Linked DNA regions of Bombyx mori. The protein of the gene in region 2 interacts with the protein of the main gene of each other region in a pairwise test. Links are inferred from orthologs where the notes say so. Each region holds a gene or a part of one and is shown on either strand. Other genes may lie near its edges.

What was found. The genes of interacting proteins can lie anywhere in the genome.
Region 1: the proteins of ras-related protein Rab-35 (region 2) and arf-GAP with coiled-coil, ANK repeat and PH domain-containing protein 2 interact in a two-hybrid assay, tested with the Caenorhabditis elegans proteins (2 studies listed by BioGRID). The link is inferred for Bombyx mori from reciprocal best matches to the Caenorhabditis elegans genes rab-35 and cnt-1.

What each region holds. Positions count from the first base shown.
Region 1 is NC_085114.1:6,704,055-6,708,125, reverse strand, and holds the start of arf-GAP with coiled-coil, ANK repeat and PH domain-containing protein 2, read left to right. Parts: upstream 1-1,263; 5' UTR 1,264-1,415; coding exon 1,416-1,468; intron 1,469-1,583; coding exon 1,584-1,700; intron 1,701-2,911; coding exon 2,912-3,085; intron 3,086-4,071. UniProt on the Caenorhabditis elegans protein: GTPase-activating protein for the ADP ribosylation factor family. Regulates endosome recycling downstream of rab-10 and upstream of arf-6.
Region 2 is NC_085122.1:8,797,433-8,801,747, forward strand, and holds the start of ras-related protein Rab-35, read left to right. Parts: upstream 1-1,513; intron 1,514-1,687; coding exon of another isoform or gene 1,688-1,947; intron 1,948-2,310; coding exon of another isoform or gene 2,311-2,410; intron 2,411-2,959; exon of another isoform or gene 2,960-3,201; 5' UTR 3,202-3,505; intron 3,506-3,702; coding exon of another isoform or gene 3,703-3,859; intron 3,860-3,937; coding exon of another isoform or gene 3,938-3,995; exon of another isoform or gene 3,996-4,111; intron 4,112-4,203; exon of another isoform or gene 4,204-4,315.

The sequences.
Region 1 (4,071 bases), on a different chromosome or scaffold from region 2:
AGGTACATATAATGTGTCAGAAAGACTAATTTTATAGCGTCGATCCTTTGTATAAAGTTCGGCTTTTCCTTTCCCTTTAACTTCGGTCGTATGTTTATCTGAAGCTAGCTTTAGAGTGTCAGTCGCGGGGATTAACTTTTATCACCCGTCATATGTGACGTACAGCCACTGTCAAGACACCATAAATTGCCTTTACATTTCGATGTTCCTGTTGTTAAACAGATGTTAAATGTCTTTTCTTGACCTTTAGTTTTATTGGGGTTATTGGGTTTCTTCTTTGACCAACAAGCTTCTGTGGAATGCCCTTTCTTATTGCAATCCTTACAAAATTGTACCTTTTTCTTCGTCTTTGTGTAGAAAGCTTCTGAAGCCTGAGGTTCATTATCTTCGGTTTGCCTTCTTGCTTCGTATTCTTCTACGATTTTTATTTTTAAACTGTCAGGACTTGGTAGAACATCTCTCGACTCAATTGCCGTTCGGAAGCTATCGAAATTTGTAGGTAAACTGTACAACATCATTATACTTAATAACTCTGGATGAATTTTGACATCCATGTCTTCTAATTTACCTACTACATCCATAAAATTACTGAGATGGTCTCTCACATCTTCTTGTGGAGTCATTTTCTTTAATACTAGCTGCTTTAACAACGTAGCCTTTCTTGCCGGCCCTGAACTTTGGTGAATAGACTTAAGTTTGTCCCATACCTCCTTGGATGTATTACACCCTTTAACTTGTTTCAGTTCTGGTGGAGATATAAGTAAAATTAGCTCTGACCTTGCCTTTAAGTCTTCCTTTATGAACGCACTCTTTTCTTCGGCAGTCGTAGTTGCCGCTAACGCTTTTGCACCACTAACGTATTCCCATAAATCGTATCTTACGAGAATCGCCTGTGCTTGTAAGCACCAGGTATCATAGTTTGATTTTGTCAGCGGTTCTATGTTTCTGATACTCGAGCTCATTTTAATTTTTTTTTATTTTCTCATTTACTTACTATTTTAAATTTTAATATGCTTCTTCCATTTGCCACTAGATATTTATGTAACCACGCTCTGCTACCACTGATAGGGTGGACTAGCGGCTATAGCAATTAATTAAAACGTAAATTAAATACTTGAAAACATTGTGTTGTTCAAATATAGTGCATCATAGACAATTATACGTGGACAGCATCACGACCTTCCAACACAAAGTAATAAACATTTTCCAAATAATATATGACCTAAATGGTCTATGTTACCAGGTCTTATAATTAAAAAAAAAACAACTTAGTGCATAGATTATACACATATTATTAGTGTTTAACTCAAATCAGTTGCACAACTGATTAATTGAAATCTGAGGAGAAATATTGTGAATACTTAGCGCTATTTAATGTGAAATATATAAAAAAAGAACGACAAATTATTGATAAAATGAAACCGTTGATTGATTTTGATGAGTGCCTTAGGGACTCTCCAAAGTTCAGGTACATACAACATATTTTCTAATAATGTTGTGGACATGTACAAAACTAACAATGAAAGTGAAATTTCGTGTGTGCTAAACATACTAAGTGATACATTTTTGTTTTTATCGAACAGAGAGCAATTAGAAACCGAAGAAGCAAATATTGATGGGCTAGAACAAAAGCTAGATAAGGTACTGAAAGCTTGCAGCATAATGATAGAAACGGGAAAGACTTATATGAATCACAGAGGGTAAACTTATTATACGAATTTTTCTTTAATTAACATCCTAATAACATTGTCATGGAATAAATATAGTCTAACACTCACTTAAAATGTAGTTTAGGTTTCTAACATATTGGATAAATTATGGTGATTTTAACCCACTGCAAAATTGTTAATATCCAGTAATTATTGAAAGTGAAATAACTAATTAAAACAAAAAAGAATGAATGATATTGAGGGGTGAAAGTCTATTTGTTATAAGTTACATTTTGCTTTATATGTGACATTTATCTTTGTAATTAAAAGCGCATTTTATTTGGTATTGGCATCAACAGTTCAATGTTTTTAATTGAACTTCTAAGAACTTCTAAGTTTACTCCATTCGAATAGCTGTAGAAGTTTTTTGTTACGATTTTTGTTCTTCAAATTTTTAATCTTTACATGGCTCTCCTGTAAAGAAGTGAAAATGTCTCTTAAACCAAATAGTCTTTCACCCCTCGATATATTTTGTTGCTATGTACAATAATAATATGTCCAATAACATTAATTGGTAAAGCACAAATTTTGAATCTATGTAAGTTGTGGAAATTTTGAGGAACAATCTATACTAATATTATAAAGAGGAAAGATTTGTTTGTTTGTTTGTTTTTTTTGAATAGGCTTCGAAACTACTGGACTGATTTGACCTAAATTCTTTTTCTACTAGAAACCGACGTTATCCCTGATGAACATAGGCTACTTTTTTTTTTGTTTCATGTGTGTTCGAGCTCACATCTCACCTGGTTGTATAATAAAAAATCAAATTGGTGGTAGGACCTCTTGTTGAAATATAAAATCGTATACATACCTTGATTTGACAATTTGCTTTGTTCATAATATACTTAATGATTTTGGTGAGAGTAGTTATAAAGTGTTAGTAGACAAGATCTAAGTTCTTAAATAAAATCAATTAAATCATTGTTTTTGTACTATTACTATTTATATTATTTAAATGTTGTCACTTGATAAGACACCACATAGTATTTCAAGGTGATTTTAATCTGTAATATGGAAGGCTTATTCAGTTGTAGTAAGTGATTATTTTAGATAGAGTAATTTTGTCATGAATACATGAGGATTAGGATCTAGAAAAACAAAATCTAAATTAACATTGCCACACTCTCCTTTTATAAATTTTGACGATGTTCCCTTTACTTTAATGGTGTATGTTGATCAAAAACGTCATTATTTTTTATCAGTACCTTTACAAATGCACTATGGGATTTGACCGGAAGTTTCTCAGAAGACCCAACAGTGATGGCACCACTGAACCGTATGGCACATGCTCTGCAGGAGATGACCAAGTTTCATTCAATATTGCTGGACCAGGTTTCCCGAACTGTGATAAAGAATCTCACTGCATTTATAAGGGTGTAAGGATTTTTTAAATGATTTTAAGTAGCTTTGAGAATGGAGGACAAACGATGACATTTTAATACTTATTTGATTCATAAAAAATATGAGTTTTCACATCTCTGTTAACATTCAGCTTAGCTCACTTTAATTCTGGTGTGTTTAAATAATACAATATCTTGTTTATTACTCTAAATATCTAAATGAGTGATTTAATTTTTGGATGACATCTATTTTTATCAAAAGCATTGGAAAGTATTGTTTTCAAAGATATGTTTCATATTTGCATGAGGCTTACTTGATGTTTGGATTCATGTTTTTATTTCTAGACTTGCTTAGACTAACTTAATAAAGGACTGCTACAAAAACTGACTGAAACTGAAAACATTACAAATAATTGAGAATAATAAAAGTGAGATCATACTATAGAAGTAGCTTCAATTATAACTTAATAATTTCTTTTGTTAATAATTTTGTTGAAAATGTCCATTGACTCCAAAAATAACTTAATTATTGGATATACATAATTTGTTTATTGAACATGAGCACAGTGCACAGCTTGCTTGTTTTATGGTTTAAAAATGGATTATTTAAATTATATTAAATTATTATTCAGAAGACACTGAAACACTGACTATGGTTGGGCTTACTATAAGCCTACATGAGTCCTCCCTTCGCGATATAGAAATAGTGTTATAATATGCTAATGCTGTTAATTCAGTAACTTCTCGAATATTAACATAGTCTAATGCCCGTTGAGTGTGAAACATGGTCAGCAGACTTATCAGCCAGCAAACTATTATGGCTTAGAGAAATAATTTTAAGCCCTGGAGTTCTCACTTGATGTATAATAACTTCATGCTAAGATAGCTAGATCATGTGTTATGCAACAAAATAAACTTCAAAGAAAAACATTCAGAATTATGTTAAGTAATTATTCTTTAAAAAAATATCAACTATTAAAAATGAATGTATCAACAACATATTGCTTAAGTTGATCTAAATA
Region 2 (4,315 bases):
AATCATGTCTAAGATTACTATAAGCGTCATTAAGTACAAACTATCAATATTTAAGAGTACTTTAAATCATCATTACATTTTTTAAACATTTTTTGTTTTTCAAATCATGTAATAAAACGTTTGTGCAGATCAAAATGTCACATGTTATGAACATGATTGTGGGTTAATAGTTTCTTAAATTTCTAAATGTTTATAAGAATGCTAAGAATAATTTAGTATTCACTTTAGTGTGTGTATTATCTCTACAATGCTAGTATAAATGACAATTATTGTATGACGAAGCATAGGTAGTGTTTATAGATGTAATATTTTCATACAAGGTCATGATCTGTCACGATCAACTTTAAGCAAGAACTGCTATAGTTAAGAAACAAATTTATTAAATTTAATTCAAATTGTCTACTATGTTTGTAATGGAAAGCTGACATGTTTATATTTCGCACAAATGACTTAAGTGACATTGAATGATTTGATTATCTAGACTTAATTAACTTTTAGATAACTTTCGATTTAATGTTATTAAGTACTCTAGTAGGATTAATCTAGAGGAGTTATTGTTATTCGAAATTTTATACAATTGTACGTTCATACTATCTTTTAACAGTAAATTGTTTGTAATATAGGGAAATTAAATAGCTTACAGAGAATTACAGCTTTTTATTTAAAAAAACTGTTTTCTCTCTGTATGAAAAGGTCTTATCGATTAGAATGCTGAACACAATCAAACGTTCTTTAATATTTCATAAGTACTACCGGGAATTTCAGCGATTCTAAACGATAAGATTTTTTCATAGAGTTAATTATAAAAAATATTAAAATTACTAAAAAAGCCACCTGGTGGGGGGTAGGGAGACTAATAATCGACAGCAGCGACGCCTGCTGTCCCGGGCTCTAACTAAAGCAAAAATAAAAATGAGAGTTGCGCATCTATCTCAAATATATTAAGTGTATAATCTATGCTTAAATGTTATGTGTATTCTATCTATGCTAAGAACACAATATACATTTGGAAGAAGAGTTTCCTATTCTTCTGTGCTTTCATAGATGCTAAACAATTAATAAGCTAACATTAATAAAGAAGAAACAAAATTATTTGGTAGTAAAACCATTTTATTATGCTGTGGCTACATATCGTTGTCGACTTCTTGAAACTACTCGCGCGTCACCTATAGTATGTTGATTGGACTATCAATAGAGTTTCATATATCCTAGGAACGCATAGAGGACAAACATATAAATAGACATTTGCTTTTATTTATTTAACTGATTAAATTATTAATCATTATATGATTAAATTAAATTAATAAATTATAAATTTAAATAACAACAAACATTATTTTTCAGGATTTATGGCGAAAGTCTCTCGATAACCCACCCACCTTCGCCTTCGTGCAATAGTTTTTGATCTGGCACTTCCCCTTTGTATGGTCTTCTGTATTTTATGCGATCATGAAATCTGTCATTATGACCCTGCCAGAATTCAACGGACCTAGGAACTAAGAGGTATCCTCCCCTGGAAAAATTTAACTGTGTTATTTTTTTCATAATAAACCAGTTGATTTAATTTTATTGTAAAATAATGAGATTACATAATGTAATAATGACGACACAATTTAATAAAACATGAACATCGCTGTGTTGAAAGTCTCGATAAAAAAATTTGCTTGTTTAATACTATGAAAATTACCAGTTACTTGGTTTTGGGACTTCTTTCCCAGGTATCAGATATTCTTGCTCAAGAACCTTTTGCCTTTGACATAGGATATCTTTAGAAACTATCGGTGTACTTTGGTAGCTCGTACATGCTGCTATCTGATTGGCCACTGCACGTGTGCGAAAGTATTTTAAATTTTCAGCTTCTGAGAGTTTCTCGACTGTGCCTTCAATCCTCACCGATCTGTTCAGGATATCCCAATAAAACGTAGCAGCAACATTAGGATTCCCTTCCTTAAGAAAATGTAAATCATTATTATGATGTTAATTGGATGGACCTTTAAATTTGAAAACTTTCAAATTTTTATTCGTAGATATTACTCTACTTCCTAGTGTTTTTTCCATATTTCTAGATTTTTAGTGATAAAAATGCATTGTGTTTGTATAATACGAGTATATACTAAATATATTTACTGTAAAGGAAATCTAAAAGGTGCCTTTGTTTGAAGGCGAATCTTTATTTGTCGTTAATACTCTTATTATGGTTATATTCCTTAAAACAATTTCGGTTTAAAAAAAAAATTGAGTTGATTTCAAATAAACAAATCAATAATTATATGGCATAGGGTCCTCTTGAAAAAAATATAAAAGACTTACTATGTCTTTAGCTTTTTTACTTCCATAATTTGTGTAGAATTTGAATCCTTCTTTACCATAACCCTTACACAATACAAATCGGGCTGACGGAAAACCCTCCCTGAAATAATCATTAAAAACCATAACTATCCAGATCCCTAATGCAATGAGTAATTGTTTGGATAAAAAATTGATAAGTCTTAAAACATTACCCTCATATATCTTCATAAAAATCTCTGAATAAGATTAATTCAACAGCATTGATCTCGGCCTAGCTATGTTCTTATGATAACAATAATAGGGGTATTTCCTATGTTTGCTTTTGTATATGGATACGACGCCCGGTGTTAGATATCGATTGATGCGACTATTCTGGGGCTAAATTCTCCCAAGCAGTTTTTTTTATTTTTTGTTTATTGTATATGGGTGGACGAGCTCACAGCACACCTGTTTAGTGGTTACCGGAGCCCATAGACATCTGCAACGTGCATCTAAGGTCTCAGTATAGTTAGAACGGCTGCCCCACCCTTCAAACCGAAACGCATTACTGCTTCACGACAGAAATGGACAGGGCGGTGGTACCTTCCGGTGGGGACTCACAAGAGGACCTACCACCAGTAATTACGCAAATTAAATTAATTTTGTGGGTTTAATTTTTATTACATGATGTTATTCCTTCACCGTGGAAGTCATTCGTAAACATTTGTTAAGTACGTATTTCATTACAAAAATTGGTACCCATCTGCGGGATTCGAACATCGTTGCATCGCTAGATGCGAATGCACCAGACGTTTTAACCTTTGTAGCTACGATGCGACGCCTTTAAAAGATAGCGATATTTCTAAGCAAATAGGTTTGCAATACGTGTTCACGAACTGCCACTTTAATGACATTTAATTGCATCCGAGTCAGGCTCTCAACAATCTGTTACCAGAGGATCCTCAGCTACTTCGGTCATATTTCCCGCCGACAGTCAGTTAACTTGGACAAAGTGATTGTGACGGGCAAAGTAGAAGGAAAGAGACCCCGCGGCCGATTACCTAGCCGTTGGTGTGATCAAGTAACCGCTCTAACTGGGTTGCCAGTCGCAACCGCCATTCGAGCAGCTGAGGACCGGACGAGATGGAAACAGCTCACGAGACAGGCAACGGTCGAGTTTCAGGGACACGACCTTCAGCAATGAAGAAAGCGACGAAGAAGAAAGAAGAAGAAGTGGGTAAAATATTATATTTTGTTTACGTTCAATAAACTTAATTGAGTTCACCGGTATTTTCTATAGAATCTAATTTTTTTTTTTTTCTCAAAAAACTAATGGGGACTCTAAATATTTCCAAGTTTTTGTGCTGGTTAATGTGGCTAGGATATCAACTGTCTTTGTTTACAAAACGCAGTCTAGTTTAAAATGTAACTCACTGTGAAACTGTGGCTAGACACATTGCACTGGGCTCCAGAATCTTTTTCGTAGCGCGAGCTTCTTCAAACCAACATTTGAATTGTCCAAACGGCTCTTTCCATGTCACTGATTTTTCTAGAAACGCCCCATTTTTATAGGTATCGCAATTTCTCATACCTAGCAAAACAAAAAAGATACAGAAAGCATTTTTAACAAAATTGTCATTTGTTTTTTAACTAATATTCGAAAACTTACCACCAATACCAATACTCATAGTGCAAGTGTATGTGACAGCTTTCGGTAAATGAAACATTTTATATTGTATTAACCGTAACGTAAAAACAATTAAATATTTCAAATTTATTATTTGTTGAAACACAATAATCGTTCAAGGTCATCATTATTTTTAGATTATCGATAAATTAACATCTACAAAAAATTTATAAAAGATAAACACAGCTTGTTTGCTCGGCTTAAATTCTATTTAACCGAATTTAATTAGTATATTTTATTTTTATTACCTCATCAAACAGACGGGCATTGGGCCTCCAGATGGGGATCGACATCAGTAATCTCTGTGACTCAAATGATTTGCTGCCTATCTATAATATTCTTGAATAGTTACAGAAAAAC